Coturnix japonica: one gene and its partners. Each later gene encodes a partner of the first gene's protein in a complex. Links are inferred from orthologs where the notes say so. Each region holds a gene or a part of one and is shown in the gene's direction. Other genes may lie near its edges. The genes, in order: RAB7A, PDZD8, RUBCN and RILP.

Evidence for each region.
Region 2: the proteins of RAB7A (region 1) and PDZD8 are in contact, whole or in part, in a crystal structure (PDB 7F6J), measured with the Homo sapiens proteins. The link is inferred for Coturnix japonica from reciprocal best matches to the Homo sapiens genes RAB7A and PDZD8. Residues at the interface, in NP_004628.4 of Homo sapiens: Lys10, Leu14, Asp16, Ser17, Lys38, Ile41, Gly42, Ala43, Asp44, Phe45, Gln60, Trp62, Gly66, Glu68, Arg69, Phe70, Gln71, Ser72, Leu73, Gly74, Val75, Ala76, Phe77, Tyr78, Arg79, Thr98, Ser101, Trp102, Glu105, Phe106; in NP_776152.1 of Homo sapiens: Ile999, Lys1000, Leu1001, Val1002, Arg1003, Lys1004, Glu1005, Gly1007, Leu1008, Asp1009, Asp1010, Phe1013, Ile1014, Lys1017, Gln1044, Leu1051, Asn1054, Asn1055, Val1058, Leu1077, Leu1084, Gln1085, Thr1088, Ile1092.
Region 3: the proteins of RAB7A (region 1) and RUBCN are in contact, whole or in part, in a crystal structure (PDB 6WCW), measured with the Homo sapiens proteins. The link is inferred for Coturnix japonica from reciprocal best matches to the Homo sapiens genes RAB7A and RUBCN. Residues at the interface, in NP_004628.4 of Homo sapiens: Ile41, Gly42, Ala43, Asp44, Trp62, Gln71, Ser72, Leu73, Gly74, Val75, Ala76, Phe77, Arg79, Ser101, Asp104, Glu105, Ile108, Gln109, Ser111; in NP_055502.1 of Homo sapiens: His818, Asn821, Met822, Lys824, Thr825, Arg827, Leu883, Gln885, Ala886, Lys887, Gly888, Phe889, Ile890, Glu892, Gln895, Glu897, Ile900, Pro903, Cys915, Lys916, Arg931, Arg934, Arg938.
Region 4: the proteins of RAB7A (region 1) and RILP are in contact, whole or in part, in a crystal structure (PDB 1YHN), measured with the Homo sapiens proteins. The link is inferred for Coturnix japonica from reciprocal best matches to the Homo sapiens genes RAB7A and RILP. Residues at the interface, in NP_004628.4 of Homo sapiens: Ser3, Lys6, Leu8, Ile41, Gly42, Ala43, Asp44, Phe45, Leu46, Thr47, Thr58, Trp62, Ser72, Leu73, Val75, Leu182, Tyr183, Asn184, Glu185; in NP_113618.2 of Homo sapiens: Phe248, Glu249, Leu252, Gln253, Arg255, Asn256, Lys259, Ala260, Phe263, Leu264, Glu267, Glu268, Tyr271, Arg274, Glu275.

Annotation. Positions count from the first base shown.
Region 1 is NC_029527.1:6,808,793-6,812,970, reverse strand, and holds the start of RAB7A (ras-related protein Rab-7a), read left to right. Parts: upstream 1-1,371; 5' UTR 1,372-1,503; intron 1,504-4,178.
Region 2 is NC_029521.1:26,018,159-26,022,453, reverse strand, and holds the start of PDZD8 (PDZ domain-containing protein 8), read left to right. Parts: upstream 1-1,460; 5' UTR 1,461-1,601; coding exon 1,602-2,476; intron 2,477-4,295. UniProt on the Homo sapiens protein: Molecular tethering protein that connects endoplasmic reticulum and mitochondria membranes. PDZD8-dependent endoplasmic reticulum-mitochondria membrane tethering is essential for endoplasmic reticulum-mitochondria Ca(2+) transfer.
Region 3 is NC_029524.1:13,094,682-13,098,238, reverse strand, and holds part of RUBCN (run domain Beclin-1-interacting and cysteine-rich domain-containing protein), read left to right. Parts: intron 1-74; coding exon 75-611; intron 612-1,199; coding exon 1,200-1,244; intron 1,245-2,478; coding exon 2,479-2,574; intron 2,575-3,470; coding exon 3,471-3,557.
Region 4 is NC_029534.1:4,138,714-4,142,890, reverse strand, and holds the start of RILP (rab-interacting lysosomal protein), read left to right. Parts: upstream 1-1,321; 5' UTR 1,322-1,344; coding exon 1,345-1,593; intron 1,594-1,829; coding exon 1,830-1,956; intron 1,957-2,143; coding exon 2,144-2,265; intron 2,266-2,426; coding exon 2,427-2,618; intron 2,619-2,697; coding exon 2,698-2,852; intron 2,853-2,966; coding exon 2,967-3,089; intron 3,090-4,177. Other genes in the region: PRPF8 (pre-mRNA-processing-splicing factor 8), read left to right, coding at 85-224, 379-581, 926-1,080. UniProt on the Homo sapiens protein: Rab effector playing a role in late endocytic transport to degradative compartments. Involved in the regulation of lysosomal morphology and distribution.

The DNA of each region.
Region 1 (4,178 bases):
TTTGTACTGCAGGCAGGGATTAGAGAAGAGGGCAGGCAAAAGACTACAGCTGTGCTTTTGCCAGTGGAAATGCTTATGTGGTCATGTAAGAGCAGAAGATTTCTAGTGGACAGAATGCCAGAAGCAGCAGGGTGAATCTGGTTTAGCTTGGAGTACAAAAACAAGATATTGTGTGTTTGCTGCAGCTTAGTTCCTTTTTTTTTTCAATTTTATTTTAGCAAGTTCTGACATTACGATGAGTTTTTTTGAGGAAACTGGCCTGGAAAGCAAAAGAGGGCAAGAGAAAAACATTGCAAAGCTCTTGAGAGGACAGCTTCACACAGGGATGACAGGATGGTCAGCTGGAGCTTTATCTTTCCAGACCTAAGAGGCAACAAAGGGTCCCAGTGCTGTGAGCAGCAATGAGGAAGAGGGAACACAGGACTCTGGTGAGCTGAAATAGTCTGGGCAAGTACTAGAAGAATGAGCAGGTTCCCTCTAAGCTTTTAACATCGCAGATGGTTCAAGGTGGGATGGCTGTATGTCCATGGGAAGTGGGTGAGTGCATTAGAAACTACAAGGAACATCAGCTAAGTCAATGTACAGGTTGGCTCCTGGACCTCTCTGCAATCAGCACACGGTGAATCTTTTTGTGTCCATGCTGTTTCTGCTCACTGTGCCACTGTATGGACTGGCAAGAGGAAGGGAGGATCCCTTCCAGTCCAAGGACCAAAGAGATGATGTTTTATTATCCCTCATTGGATGGCACAGACAAGCAAATAGAGATTAGATGTCACAAAGGGAACAAATCAAAGCTGAAGACGTTCTTACTTCCTGGTTCAGCACATGAAATATGCTGAGGTTCCTGCAGTGGTAAATGTCTGTTTGCTATAATATCTAGCTGCCATCTGTGCCCAATGACAAGCACCCAGACCATAAGGCTCTCTCTGCAGGCAGTGATGCTTCTGAGAGCCAGGATTCCTGTGTTCTTCAATGTCCCACAATGGACCAGAGGTGGCTGCTGCAAGACACAGCTGTGGGACACGCCAAGAAAGCCATTAACTCAATGCAAGGTTATCCTCTGTGTAACTAAATAACGTCAGAGATGGGCGGCAGGATCGCTCTGTGATAGAGAGGGAAGGAGGAAATGTTACCCACGGCCCTTGATTGCTTTTTGTATTGTGTAATAAGGAAGAAAAGTGAAATGTACAATCAAATCATTCCAACTGGAACGACCCCGCTCCCCCCTCCCCACCAGCACAAGATGGCGGCGGGCAGCGAGCGATCACGTGACACTCTCCCCCTCCTTTCCTTCCCTCCCCCTTCTTCCCTTCCCTCCCCCTCCCGTTGGCTGCCGGCGCCGTGATGACGTCATGACACCGGGCGGACCCCGTGACCGGAAGTTGTTGAGGGGGGGGAGGCGGAAGTGAAAGCGGGGAGGTGGTTGGGCCCGATAAAGCCGAGCGAGACGAGCGGGGGAGGCACAGCCAGGATCGGGCGGGCGCTGCGGCCACACGCACCACGGTCAGTACGGGGCTGTGTGGGTGTCTGCCATAGGGTTCGGGGCGGGGGGTGCCGGCTCCGGCCCAGCTGCTGTTACTACAGGGCGGGGGGTGGCCTCTCAGGCCCCTCCCTCCGGCTGGAGGGGCCGCTGGGGCCGGCTGGGTATGGGGGGCGCCGCCTTTGTGCTGGGCCCGGTGCCGCCGTGGCAGCTGCTCGCTCTCAGTGTAATACTGGGCTGTTGTGTCGAGCTGGGGCCGGGATCGGCGCTTCCCCCGGAACAATGGAGCTGAGGGATCCTTAGCAAACGGCTCCTCCGCCCAGAGCCTCGGGCACGGCGCTACCGAGGCCTTCCTTGGGCTGTGAGCTTCTAAAGGCGGGTGTGTGGGTGTCCTCGCTGTCAGAGCCATGCGGTGGTCCATGGAGAAGCAGAGCGCATTGTGTGTGTGGCATGTGGCGTGCTGCGCTATGGGCTCGGAGCTGGGGCTGCCCCCAGTGCTGAGGGTTGGGTGGTCAGATGGTGACTGTGCTTCAGGTGGGATGGAGAGGGCATTGGGTGCTGCTTTAGAGACAAGCGGGCTGCTTAGGGAGCATTTAATGCTGCCAAATGTGAGGCTGGGAGGGCTGGCAGTTATTGCGAAAGGAGCTCTCAGCGTGTGCAAAGCCTGAGTCAGTTCGAAGGAGTGTGGGAATGGATGTTGGAAGTGCTTTTTGTTCGGAGTATAATAAGGTAAATGAAATGATGGATGCATTATTAATGGCTCAGGTATATTGAGGCTAATGAATATAGGAATACTTAATCGTTGTGTTAAAGTGAAATGTGTTTTCTTCCTTGTAAATAGTGGATTTCTTATAGTAGTAAGGCAGCTTAAAAAAATAAGTGCCATAATCTGGAGGAAGAGAGTTAACTGCATCAGAATGAATACATCTTAACCAGTAGCTCTGAGTTCTTTGAGTAAAAGATTGAATTCTCAACACTGTTTTCCTGCAGGCTAAAAATACTTGCTGATAAGCAGAGCTGTTGGGATATGTGTTGGGTTTTTTTATGAGTAAACTGAGAACACATGATAGAACAAAGTCCTCCCAGCTGTAAGCAAGCTGTTCTTTGTTTGATAATTGTGAATTGGAAATGTTAAAGCTTCCAGCACCTGGCTGGCCAGCTCTGAGCTGTGCCTTTTGGTGTGGGCTTGTGCTGGGAAAGTGGGGAGTTACCTGCCAGCTGTGTGTAGTGCTTGGCTGTGATTTCAGGGCTCCCTTGTGGTTGTTCTGTGTGTGATCAGTGGTGGTACTAGTGATGCATGATAGAGGCTGCAGCCTTGCTGTGCTTTCAGATGGGCTGGGCTGCTGAAGTGAATGTACTCTGCACTTAGGAGATAGATTCGAGGTTGTGTTGGGTGGAGCCATTTGAATATTCCTTGTTTAATAATCAGAGCTTCATTGCTGTACTTCTTCAGGAAGAACAAGTATACTTGTCTCTTCCCCCCCCCCCTCCTTGTGACTCTCAACAGCTGACTGAACACATGACTTGCTCTCCATGAACTAATGAACAGGCTCACCATGCCTGAGTCCTTAGAACCCAAAGTAGCTCTAATACTGCCACTTCAAAATGCTGCCCTTTCTTTTGTGCTGTTATGCTAATATTCCTGGTGTAGGAAAACTGTCAGATCTGACCTCTCAATAGGGAAGGCTCTGAAAAATCCACTAGCAGTTTCTTGCTTTCTTAATGTGCAGCATGAGGTATAACTGCTAAGGTCTGAAATTCATTTAATTCAACTTCCTTTTTGTCCGTGGTGTCATGCAGTGGCCAGTGTCCTCAAATACTCTATTAATAGTTCAGCATGGCACACTGAGACTTACACCTTAAAATGGAAAGATGCCAAGGTAAAAGCTTAAATAACTGTTGCAGTGACTGTGTTACAGTCATCCTTTCCTTTCTGCCAAATTCAGTGTATCAGCCGCTACCCAGAGCAGCACAGATGTGTTGTGATGCAGGTGAGTCCTGAATTGTAAATGGAAAGCATACAGACTCTGCTGTTGGATCTCTGCTGTGTGATAATATCTTCCTTTGTTTTCTACCCCAAAACCAACGTCTGTGGGCCAAAAGGTTTAGCAGATTGAATTTCTGAAATGCCTTTTTAAAGCTACTGCTGTTGACTTGGAAGGTCATTTGAATTACCTGTCAGAGCGAATCTCTGGCGAAGCTTGTCCTTGAGGAAACATGACAATTAAGATCAAACCATCTGTGCAAAACTATATATAGATTTGTTTCTAACATGTATGAGTTTTTAGTCTGACTTCTCTGCAAGAACGAGACTAGCTCATGTGGAACTGAACATTTGACTGTAAACTAAACCGCTTGTGCTGGGTGAGGATGTTCTTTCAAATGTTTCATCCAGAGATGGTGCTTGGTACCTGGCCTTAGAATGAAGGCTGTGGAATAAGGCACTGGGATATTTGCATTTTTGGAATGAGCTTATGATTGCCTGGGCTCACAGATGCTTGCAGTCCCTCCTGTTGTAGCATACCAGTTTCTTTAGTAACAGAATTGAACTGTGTTAAGTGAGAGTTTGGTGCTTACCAGTGTTCTCTGCCTCCTGGGCTTCCCCGTGGCTGTGACCTGACCCACTCTGAAGCTCTTATTGCTAGGCCTGCTGGTACTGAGATCCTCTTGGTAGAAGGGGATGTAGATGAAAATGAAC
Region 2 (4,295 bases), on another chromosome or scaffold:
AGGTGAAATATTCCCTTTAACAAATAATTCTCATGTTAAAAACAAAAACAACCATGCACACCAGGTCTAACTTATGCATGTGCAGCATCCTATTTAATAATTCACAGCTGTACAAAGAACAAGCAGGTGAGTATATTCCATACAGCTGTACAAAGCTCTGTGTAACCAGAGTGGAAACCAAATGACTGCACACACCTTTCTATTTATCCAGACCTCTAAAAAATGCAAACAGTAATTTCTAATCTGAAACCAAAGCCATGCATGCCTCGAGGCCCTTTCCAGATGGTAAGAAGACAAACCCTTCCTCCCTTTTATACAACATAAGGTTGTTTTCTCTCTAGAATAGTTTCAATCTGACGTAATGTTACACAACATTTTTGCACGTCCTTTTTGCACTCGTGTTCATAATCTCCGCTGCTAATTCTGATATTGTTGAAAATGCTGAAACCCACCCAATTCTTGCTTCACAACGTGTCTCCAAGATCACACAGCTCTTGATAAAAACACTCCTGGGAAAGGATAAAAGTGATCACTGAGCTCAGTGCTTCAGACTCTTAAGCTGCCATCAGGTGTGTAAAATGTGCCAGTTTTTCTTCTTTGCTTGTTTAACAGAAGAAAAAGCTCAAATGAAATACCTGCTTTTTTTTTTTTTTACCTGGTGTTCCTCCTGACCCCAAAGCTGTTATTGCCTCTCTGAATATATTATTCCTTTCCTGAAAAGCCATTTAGTTGCAAATCCAAACACTTTCTTACTGCATATGCCCATATTAGCCATGGTAAAGGCTTATAACAGAGCAGATCAAATTCTCTACTGATGACCTTGCTGGTATTTCTATAGAAATTGCTCTGTTAAACACCCAGCCATTTCAACTTCCAGTCACAAGACCTTATAAAAAATTCATACGCCGAAAATCTCTAGTTTCAAACCACAGCTCTGCATCATTAAGAGCTTTTCAATCCCATAGACATTATGAAAGGGGGGGGGGGGGGGGGGAGGGCAGTTTTATCTTCCCAGAGCTTCAGTTTCACATTTACTCCTCCTTCTGCCTGCACTTTTAAGTAGCTCTGGATGGAGGGAGGCAAAAATATGTGATCTGAAGAGCACAGGGACAGGTTTATACCCCATCACCGATGGGAGAACTTGAGAACAAGCTGTACTTCGAGGTTTAGCCCCAAACTTCAATCAGAAACAGGAAGCAGCGAAGGGGCTTTGAAGGAATCCCGGCAGCTCCGTGTATCCCGAGGGGATTTCAGGATCTCCAGAGGGGTTTCACCCACAACCCACCAACCAACCACCCCTTAATGACAGCCCCATAACAACCCCATAACAACCCGTGTACCCCAACCCCATCCCCTCCGCTCCCACCCCCGCGCATGCTCACGCCGCACAGTGACGCCATACCTACGGGGCCTCCCTCTCTCCACCAATAGCGTTGCTCGGAGGCCGAGCTGGCCCCGCCCCCTCCGCCCTGCCGCCGCCGCCGCCGCCGCCGGGCCGGGCCGCCGCGGGGTGGACCCGGATGAGGCGGCGGCCGGCAGCCGGTAACCTCGGGCCGTTAAACGCGAGGCCGTGAGGGGAGGGAGGCGAGCTGGGGGCGAGGATGCTGCCGCTGTACACCATCTTGCTCTCGGCTCTGGCCGGCTGTTTCCTCACGCTGCTATTACAGCTGCTGCTCCTTTATAGGAAAACCCCGGAGCCTCCCGGTGGGACCGGAGCTGACGACGGCCTCGTCTATGCTCGTGTCGCGGTTGGCCGCAGTCTGAAGGACTATCTGCATGGCACCGAGCCCGCGGGCAGCCAGGCCGCACCGGAGCCGGCCCCGGCCTTGGCCTCGGCCCCTGCCCCCTCAGCGGGCCCGGAGCCCGGCACCAAGCAGACCCAGCAGCCGGAGCCCGGCCCGGAGCCTTCATCCAGCGAGGAGACGTGCCATTTCCTCAACGCCATCTTCCTCTTCCTCTTCAGGGAGCTCCGGGATACGGCCCTGGTGAGGAACTGGGTGATCAAAAAGATCAAAGTGGAGTTCGAGGAGCTGCTGCAGACCAAGATGACGGGGAAGGTGTTGGAAGGGTTGAGCCTCCGGGAGGTGTATCTGGGCAACGTCCTGCCCGTCTTTAAGGCTGTCCGGCTCATCCGGCCCGTGGTGTTCAGTGAGGAGGGCTGCCCCGATGAGCTGAGCTTCGAGGTGGACCTGGAATACAATGGCGGTTTCCACCTGGCCATCGATGCAGACCTGGTCTTTGGCAAGTCAGCCTACCTCTTTGTCAAGCTGTCCCAGGTGATGGGCAAATTGAAGCTGGTCTTCACGCGCCTGCCCTTCACGCACTGGTACTTCTCCTTCATGGATGACCCCGTTGTTGTCTTCGAAGTCAAGTCGCAGTTTGAAGGGAGGCCCATGCCTCAGCTCACTTCCATCATTGTCAATCAATTCAAGAAGGTTATCAAGCGCAAACACACCCTGCCCAATTACAAAATCAGGTAAGAGATGGCCTGTGCCCACAACGTTACTTGGGGAGGAGAGTGTTGGAGTTGATGTTATGTTCTTTATGGAGATTTTGGAAAGGGTCCAGAGGAGTCCAGAGGAGGGCCACAAAGATGATCAGGGGGCTGGAGCACCTCCCCTATGAGGACAGGCTGAGGGAGTTGGGTTTGTTCAGCCTGGAGAAGAGAAGGTTGCGGGGTGACCTCATTGCAGCCTTTCAGTACCTGAAGGGAACTTACTGCCAGGAGGGGAGTAAACTCTTGGAAAGGGCTGATAATAGCAGGACACGGGGAAATGGTTTTAAGTTGAAGGAGGGAAGATTTAGGTTGGATGTTAGGGGAAAGTTCTTTACTAGAAGGGTGGTTAGGTCCTGGAACAGGCTGCCCAGTGAGGTTGTGGATGCCCCGTCCTTGGAGGTGTTCAAGGCCAGGTTGGACGGGGCCCTGGGCAACCTGATCTAGTAAAGGTGTATGTTTGGTGGCCCTGCTAGGCAGGGGGGTTGGAACTACATGATCCTTGAGGTCCCTTCCAACCCGGGTAATTCTGTGATTCTGTGATTCTGTGATTCTTAGTAGTGTCACACCTACTGTAAAGTGAGATTTCTGTCAGTGTTTCTGCATCTGGGGTGCTTGTGCACTGCTTATTGATAACACTTTCTGTGAAGTTAGGCATGGATTTGCAACAGGTGGAAGAAACCATTGCACAGAGACTGCAACAAACCCCAAAAACATGCAGAACTAAGTGCTGGAGATATTATGTGCCAGGTTCTGTCAGGTGTCCAACAACCAGATTATGATCACCTTTGGGAAAGGCAGAACGCTGGCTCTGTGGGACAGCACATGGCCTGGGGGTGGCCTTCTGCTGCTGGTCAACCACCTTGGCCAGAGCTGTGGATGATGCTTGTCCAGAGAGAGACAAGGGTTTTGTTGCTTAATGTGAGACAGGAATAAGCCCTCACTCTAGGGAATATTTCTGGAATCACATGATAAGCAGCGCCTTCCTCCTTCCGGTTTGCTTTATTTCTTCAGCAACTTTGTTGAAGTGTAGAAGCTGACAGGGGTTGTGTTGCTACTGTTGCGGTAAAGCTTTGGGGAACTTCTTGTTTGGATGTTTGTTTGGTTTGGTTTTTGCTTTTTAAGCTGAAATGTTTGAAAAGGCAGATGTTGCAGCACGTGCAATGCTAAGTTCAGGGATGTTTCTGTAGTAAAGTGGCAGGCAGCATCGATTTGATTCCACCTTGAGTTCTGATTTGAAAGATAAATACTGCCTTGCCTCTGTCCAGGTATACAATCTTCCCCTTATCTCAAGTATCTTAATGCTCTTAGGATAGGATGTTTCCTTTCTCTCTGGTTCATTTCTTGTAGCTCTTGTTACTTTTTAAGGAAGGATTTTTGTTGACTGCATTCTTCTCCAATAAGCCTTTTCTCTGAGATTCCTCAGGCGTGACTAACTGAAAATGCCTGTTTGAAGTGTAATTAGCAGTGTCATAATATTAAAGGCTTTTCAGCTGGTTCTTCTGCCATCTAATTTAGAAGGGTTCTCATGTAAAATATCCAAGACTTAGAAAGTCCTCAGGGGGCAGTAGGTGGTTTCTTAAAGTAACGCAGTGGTCCTTTGAGACTTCAGGGTACTGAATTGTTGTTTGGAAGGTCCTGGGCAGCAGTGAGGTTATCAAGAGCAAGGTCACTGCCATCCTTTTGCTGTTTTGGAAAGAGACTGAAGCTGCTTGATGTGGAAAAGAGCCCAAAGGAGGGGCTTGGGGGAGCCCAGTCTCAGTGACAGTGAGCATTCTCAGCATACCTAGAAGTAACAAGT
Region 3 (3,557 bases), on another chromosome or scaffold:
CTCAGGCTGGGCTCCTTGCTGACTTGGGTGGTCACATAGAGGATGTGTGACATCCTTTTCTTCTCTCTGTCCAGACAGGAGATCAGCAAGCTCCTCCATCAGCTCCAGCTCCAGCCAACCCCAGGAACACTGCCTGGCTTCCCGATCCTCCTCCTTTAGTGAGGGCAGGTCCCCTCTGGAGCAGCCCAGTGCTGTCCCTCCTTCACACATTCCCTCACCCAAAGACCCCTTCTCTCCAGCCAACGAGATGAGTTCCAGCACCACCAGCCAGAGTGAGGACACTTGGACAGGGAGTCAGGATGATCCACAAAGCGATGCTAACGATGGACCGGAGTATCTGGCCATAGGGAACTTGGGGCGCCGTGGCCGGGCCTGCAGCAGTGCCAGCACCAGCAGCAGTAAAAGCAGCAGCTCCAACATGTTCTCCACCAGCAGCTCCCAGAAGCTGGACTCAGGGGACCAGGGGATGAACGGATGTGGCAGCAGGGGCCTGGGCCTGTTGCGCCGATCCAGCTTCTCAGAGGGACAGTCATCAGTGCCACAGGGCATCCTCAAGAAGAGCCATGTGCGCTCACACTCGGACACCAATGTGGCTTCGGGGAAATTGCATGGTAATGGGGTTACTTTGCTCAGTGCATAGGGAGGTTGTGGGGTGCGGGCACAACGGTGGGACCATGGCCAGGTGGGAGTCAGCAGTATTGGGATGTTGGCTGTCCCTTCAACTCCGTGGGTCAGATGAACAAGGAGAGCAGTAAGAAAGCATTTTGGAGGTTTGATTGTTACCCTCCATTTTCCTGCTCCACGCTGGAATGAGGGGCTGATATCAGAATGCCCTGGGCCAGTCTGGTTTTTGTACTAGCAGCTCTGTTGTATCCTTCACTGGAGGCTTAGCAAGCAGCAGGGATGCTGCAGAATTAGCTGTCCTGCTTTTCCTCTGGTCCTGTCCACTTGGGACATAAAGCCATGGCAGACTTGGAAGCTTCTTGTCATGGTACTGGTAACCTGCTGGGCTCTCCTGTGCTCCTGAGTATGTGAATGCATTGTGGGAAGCTTCAGGAGTGAAGGGGCAACTGTTTTGTGGGATTCAGTCTCACTGGTGCTGCCTTGATGGGAGAAACAAAAGTTCTTGCTGCACAGTAACCAGTCTGTCTCTGTTTTCTCTCCCTTAACGCTGCCCTCTTCCTCCTCTGTCTGTCCAGGAGGCCTCAGGGATATCACCATTATAATAGAAGATCCAGTGGCAGGTTTGGGAGCCAGCAAAACCGCCTTTCATTAGTGATCACTGCATTAAGTTCAGAATTTCCATCAAACCATTAGTATCCATTCAGAAAACAATCAAAAACATTTTTTTCCTGAGTCTCAGGTGCTTTGAAAGGTGCCTCAGGTTTATGCATGTGGCCTGACTGAAGATCCCAGCTTGGTTTTGGCAGCAGTGGGCCAGACCCAAGGCTGGCACTGAGCTCTCCTGCATGGCATTACAAAGTGCTGACCAGCAAGTCCCTGAGCTTCTTCCCCTGCCCTCTCCTCCACTCCTATTACTCTGGGAACCAGAAGAGGTTGCCCCTGCTGGCCAAGGGCTGGTTGCCATGAAAGCATGGGCTTCAATGTGATATTTTTCATGGGGCAGATCTGCAGTAGGGCCTAGTTTGATGCTGATGGCACGGGGTGCTGAGCAGTCCATGGCTGGGAAGGCTCCTCCTTGAGTTGGCAGGAGCATGGACAGATGTGCCCATCCCCATGACTTGCTTTGTCTCCAGCTCCAGCAAAGGCTGCAGGGTGCTGCTTTCCAGCTCCAGGGTGTTTTTGGGCCTTCCCACACAAGTCAGCTGCTCTCTGGGGCCTTGCTGTCTGCACAACACTGGTGGTTGTTTGTCCCTGATGAGGCCGGCTCCTGGCGGTCCCCACCAGCTCTGCCTGGCAGTACGCAGCCCTGGAGCACACGCATGGGGAGGTGACCTTGAGCACTGTGATCCTGGCTCTGGGTTTTCCCAGCTGAGCAAGAGTGTGTCCTTCAGATACCTCCTTCCACCCTTGTCCAGGCTTCAAGCCCCACAGATCCTTTGGCTGCTCAGATGTCCCCTTGTCTCATGTTCCAACCCTGTGGGGTGACTCTTCCTTGGAGCTGCTCCAGGAAGAAGATGGAGCTGTTAGAGGTGCTTGCAGGAACTATTGCATTACCCAGGTTTGCGGGGCATAAAGAGAGGAATGCTCAGGACTTGACTGATCTGTGGTTGTCATGGCCTTCTCCTCTTTCCCTTTCATCCCCTGCCACCTGAAATGTCCCTCTGGTTGTCTTCCCTCTTGGGCTTGACTTCAAGCATGGTACAGAGCAGGTGATCCAAGTGGAGGATTTCCCTTGTTGATTCCCATCCATTTGTGCCCACCCACGTGATGATAAGCTTCTTCCATTTCACACCATGCTCTGGGCTGGGTACTTCTGGTTTGCTGACATGTGCCTGGTGTTGTCTTCCCTTGCAGAGTCCCATGCTGACACAGTTGGAAGTAGAGGAATGGTCTCTGGTTCCACCCAAAGCAGTGAACTGAGCACACCCAGCTCCCTCTACATGGAGTATGGTGAGTACAGTGAGCATCAGTGGGGATGCTTGCTCCTGGGCATGAACTGTAGCGGCCTCAGCTTCTAGCACCTGCTTGTGGGATGCAGGCATACAAGAACTGGCTTGTAGTGACTTGGTTGGGAACTGGAAAGGCTTGTTAGCTTGGGGATAGCACCCTGAAGGTCTGTCTGGCCTTCTAGGTGAATGAGGACGCACTGCAGTGCTTAGATGTGGGCTCTGCAGGAGCCTCTGTGGGTCCAGCAACATCAACGCTGAACAACTCATTAAAAGTTTTTCCTTTTGGCATGGGTGTGTATCCACTGTGCTACCTACAGTATGCTAAAGCATGTCTGTTATTCATATTGTTTTGTTATTTGGCATATGCCTTCTCTTTTTTTTATCCTGAATAACAAACATTGGCTACCTGAAGGCTATGAGGGCCTGCCAGGAGTACTTTTGTGGTTGCTGTCTTAGCAGCTCTGCCCAGGATGTGTGGGGATGATGATTATTAGTGATGTGCAGTGGTGATGCCCTAGGGCTGCCTGAGGTCAGGGTCTCCTTGTGCTCCAGGGTAGAGCTGGCCCTAGTCATTGTTCCAGAATTACTGCTGCCATAGAGAAGCAGGAGAGCATCTGGTAGCAGCTGGAACAGTCAAGTGATCTCCTGCTCCTTCCTGCTTAGGGTGGGATGTTCAGGAGGGCTGGATGATTTCAGGATGCCTGCTGTCATCATAATGGCATGGTGTTGGTTGCTGTTCTCCATTAGAGTGGATGAAACTGGATCCAGTTCTGTCTGTAGAGTGGGATAGGCAGCTGTTGGCTGTGTGAACTAGCCAGTGTGTTGACACAGAACATGGTCTTGGAGCAGTGAATTTCCTGGTCCTTCCTTCATAATGTTCCTGTCTTGCTTTTCTAGACTCTGGCCAGTACCTGAGCTCGGGGGAAGGGATGTTCAGAAGACCCTCAGAAGGACAGTCCCTCATCAGTTACCTCTCTGAGCAGG
Region 4 (4,177 bases), on another chromosome or scaffold:
GCTTGAAGCGCTCTTTTAAATACATTTCTCATGGCTTTTAGTATCTTCTCGTTGAGTAAATGCTTTTCATTTTCCATTCTGTAGGAAATGGAACCTCTGGGATGGATTCATACCCAACCAAACGAGTCCCCCCAGCTGTCACCACAGGATGTCACCACCCACGCCAAAGTCATGGCTGACAATCCCTCCTGGGATGGGGAGAAAACCATCATCATCACCTGCAGGTGAGAGGCAGCAGGGGCTTCTGTGCTGCGTCCCCTTCTTTGGATACACATGAAGGTCTCAATCTATAAATCTTGCAGAAAGGAACTGTTTGGTTATTTCTTGTTCTCTGTCTCAAATGATTCTGACCCAAACCATCTCTCTGCTCTCCTTCAGTTTTACCCCAGGTTCCTGCACGCTGACAGCCTACAAACTGACCCCAAGTGGTTACGAGTGGGGCAGGCAGAACACAGACAAAGGGAACAACCCCAAGGGCTACCTGCCATCCCACTATGAGAGGGTGCAGATGCTGCTCTCAGATCGCTTCCTTGGCTTCTTCATGGTTCCAGCACAGGGATCCTGGAACTACAACTTCATGGGTGAGCTGACAGCCCCAGGAGAGGGGTAGGAAGGGAGGCAGCAGGAATAGCTTGAGGAGAAGGAAATGGCTTTTTAAGGGGAGCATTCCTTACATGTCCTGAAGCTTGACTTTCTCTGAGCAGCCGGCAGGGTTATATTAGCATTGTAGATGGACCTTTCCTTGGTGGCTGTTCTGCGATGTTGGTTCTTAACGATTTGAAGCAGCAAGAGAGCAAACATACAGGGTTAAAATCAGACCTGAGACCATCTTCTGGTAGCGTGTGGTATATTGTCACTGAGTAATTCATGTCAGGAAGAAGAGCTGATCATGGAGAGCTGCCTCACATTGTGAACTCTCTTCCAGGTGTTCGCCACGACCCCAACATGAAATACGAGCTGCAGCTCGCCAACCCCAAGGAGTTTTACCACGAGGTCCATCGCCCTTCTCACTTCCTCAACTTCGCCCTGCTGCAGGAGGGGGAGGTTTACTCCGCCGACAGGGAGGACCTCTACGCCTGATCCTGCCCCCCCGGCACTCTTAGTACTGTTGATATTCAACATCCTCTCCCTGCTTTTCGTGTCCACGGCTCCGTCGTCCCCCCCTTGTCCATCCCAGCGTTGCTGTCCCGGTGTTTGTACCGTCGTAGAGTGGCTTAATAAATTTTTTACGAAGCCGAACGCTTCGTCTCCTATGGAGGAGGTTGGTGGGGGCGGTGACTGTCTCCGGACGGGGCTGGATGGGGCGGAGCGTTCACGGAGCCACGTCCGGTGGCGGCGGGGCCGATGGCGGAGCCAACACGGGGCACGGAACCGCTGTGGCGAACCCCTCCGGGCCGCCTGGCCCCGCCGCACATTTACTGCATGGCTGAGGCGTTGGGCGCTGAGCTGCGACGTCTCTCGGGCCGCTTTGGACCCGACGCCGTGGCCGGGTTGGTGCCGCCGGTCGTTCGGTTGTTGGAGCTGCTGGAAGCGTTGGTGGCACCGGTGGGAACCGAGAGTGAGGAACCGCTGACCGAGCAGCGGGATGCGGAGGTGAGCGGGGCAATGGTGGGAGCATTGGGGGGACCGGGAGCTGTCCCCGGTGGTGCTCAGCTTTATCCCTTAGGGGAGGTGCTGACCCCGAAGTGTCTGCATGGCCCTTCCTCCTTTATCATCGTGGGGATGTCCCCTGGGGTTGGCTTTGAGCTGAGTGTCCCTTATTCCTTGGGGTGGCTCAGACCGAGCTGTTGCCAACCCTTAAGCCTGACCCAGCTCTCCCTGTCCCCCAGGACCTGGAGCAGCGGCTGTGGGAGGCAGAGCGCCGGGAGCGAGCCCTGCGTGGCCGCCTGACCCAGCTGGAGGAGCAGAACCAGCAGCTCCTGGGGCAGCTGGCGAAGAGCAGCCAGCACCAGGAAGGTGGGTCTGGTGAGCTCCTGTCCCCATGGCAGTGCTGCCTTCTGCAAGCCACGGGGACTCCCATAGGGTTTGGGGCTGAATATCTTTGGCATGAGTTGAGGTGACAGGAGGGTGGTGGGATGAGCATCCCAAGGATGTCTTTGGGTCCCTGGTGCCGCTCACACCCGTTCCCCCACGCTGGGCACAGACAGCACAGTGAGGAAGGAACGAGAGGTGATGCTGCGGCTGAAGGAGGTGGTGGACAAGCAGAGGGATGAGCTTCGTGCCCAAGCACACGAGATCGTCTGCAAGAGCCGAGACACGGAGGCAGTGAGTGCCTGGGGACTCGCTTTCATGTCACCTCCCCTGGGGCTGATGTGGCTACTCGTGATCCCGCTGGGGCTGATGCTGTTCCCACACGGTGCTGATGTCCTGGGTGGTGGCCAAGCGATGCTGCTGTGCCTCACTCCCGGTTGTCGTGTCCTTTCCAGCTGCAGGAGCAGCTGCACCGCTTCATGTCCATGAACGAGGAGCTGCGGCACAAAGTGGCCGTGGTGCAGGCGCAGCTCAAGAGCGCACTGGAGAAGAAGTCAGACCTGGAGGCTGCTGTGCTGCAAACACAGAAGGAAATGAGCAGGAGGAGCAGGGCTGTCCCCGAGGCACCGCTGCCACAGCCCGGCCAGGTGAGATGGGAGACCTGGGGCTGCCGGGGGATGGCTCTGGGGGCTGCACTCACCTCATCCTTCATGCTCCCATCCCCAGGAAGGAGCAGCACCTCTGTCTGCAGAGGAACCACCAGACAGGAGCCCAGCTCAGTGCTGCTTCTCCATGGAAGAGCTGCAGCAGATCCTGCAGGAGCGGAACGAGCTGAAGACCAACCTGTTCCTGGTGCAGGAGGAGCTGGGCTATTACCAGCGGTGAGCCCTCCAAGAGCCACCTCCCTCCCATCCCTCTAACACCCCATGGTCTACCAACCCTTGGCAGCATTTACTTGCAAAGCTCTCAGCTAACCCGTGTGCTGTCTGTTCCAGGGAGCTGCTGAATGAAGAGAGAATCCCCAGCTTCTTCCTGGATGCCATGAAGTCAACAATCAAAAAGCAGAGAAGAAAAATCAGAGCCAAGATGCTGGGGACAGCAGAGGAGTCAGCAAGTAGGTGAGTGGAGCTGCAGGCAGCAGTGGAGCCTCCTGCACACTGCCCTTGGTGCTTCCATGCACTTATGGCACCTGTGAGGGATCAGCCCTGGGCTCTGGCCTTGTCCCTGCCTCCTGCCAGAGAGCAAAGGTTCAATGCCTGTGCTGGGTGCCCTGGCACAGTGCTGTGGGGCTGGGCTGTTTGCTGATGCTTCCACATGGCTGTCACATGTCACACGCCTGCTCCATGTGTGCTGTTCTTCCTTGTATAAATATGACAGTGGGGAGGTGAGGTGGTGGGGCACGTAGTCCATGAGCTGTAGATTTGGCACTGGGGATGTTCCCTGCAAGGTGTCTTTGGGCAGAGTTGGTTGCACATCTGCTCAGCAGCAGGAGGGGAAGCAGAGCTGTATCTCACTGCCTTGCAGAGGCTTTAATAAAGGTCTCAAGAGGGTTGAGCTCTTTTGTGCTGTTCCAACCTCCTGCTGTTTGCATTGGGGTGCAGGAGGGTGGTCTGTGCAGCCTGGAGTGAATCTGTGGCTGGAGCTGATGCCACATTCCAGCCCATAGTGGTCCTGGCTCTGCTGTCGGTGCTGCTTGGAGCCAGCAGGGCAGGTTTGCTCAGCCATATTCCTGGCTGGGACTTAACCAGTCCAGGCTGGTTGGGGTAGGGATGGATCCTCCCCACCTACCCAAACCCTTCATGAGAGCTGTGGGAGAGGCAGAACAAGATTTTCAGGAGAGTAGGGGTTTCCCCCAGTCAGCACAGCTTGTTTTTTCCTTGTGCAGTCCTTGTTTCCTTAGTGTCCTTGTTCATCCAGAAGTCTGAGACACTGCTCCCCTTCTGCCTGCCCCAAGTGGCTGCTGCCCATTTGGGTGCCATCCTGCTGTTCTGCAGGTTTGGCTGTCCCCAACATCACCCCAGGCTGCAGCTTGTGCTGCTGATGGCACCCCTGAGGCTGAACTCAAGCCCTGGCGTCTCTGCAGAGCTGGGGATGTCCCTTTGCAGCCCCACAGGGCAATGGCAGCAGACACAGTTGCCAGGGCTGGGTGCCTGCAGACTGCAGCGTGGGCTGTGGCTTCTGCTGCTGCAGCTGGCTGGGACAAAGC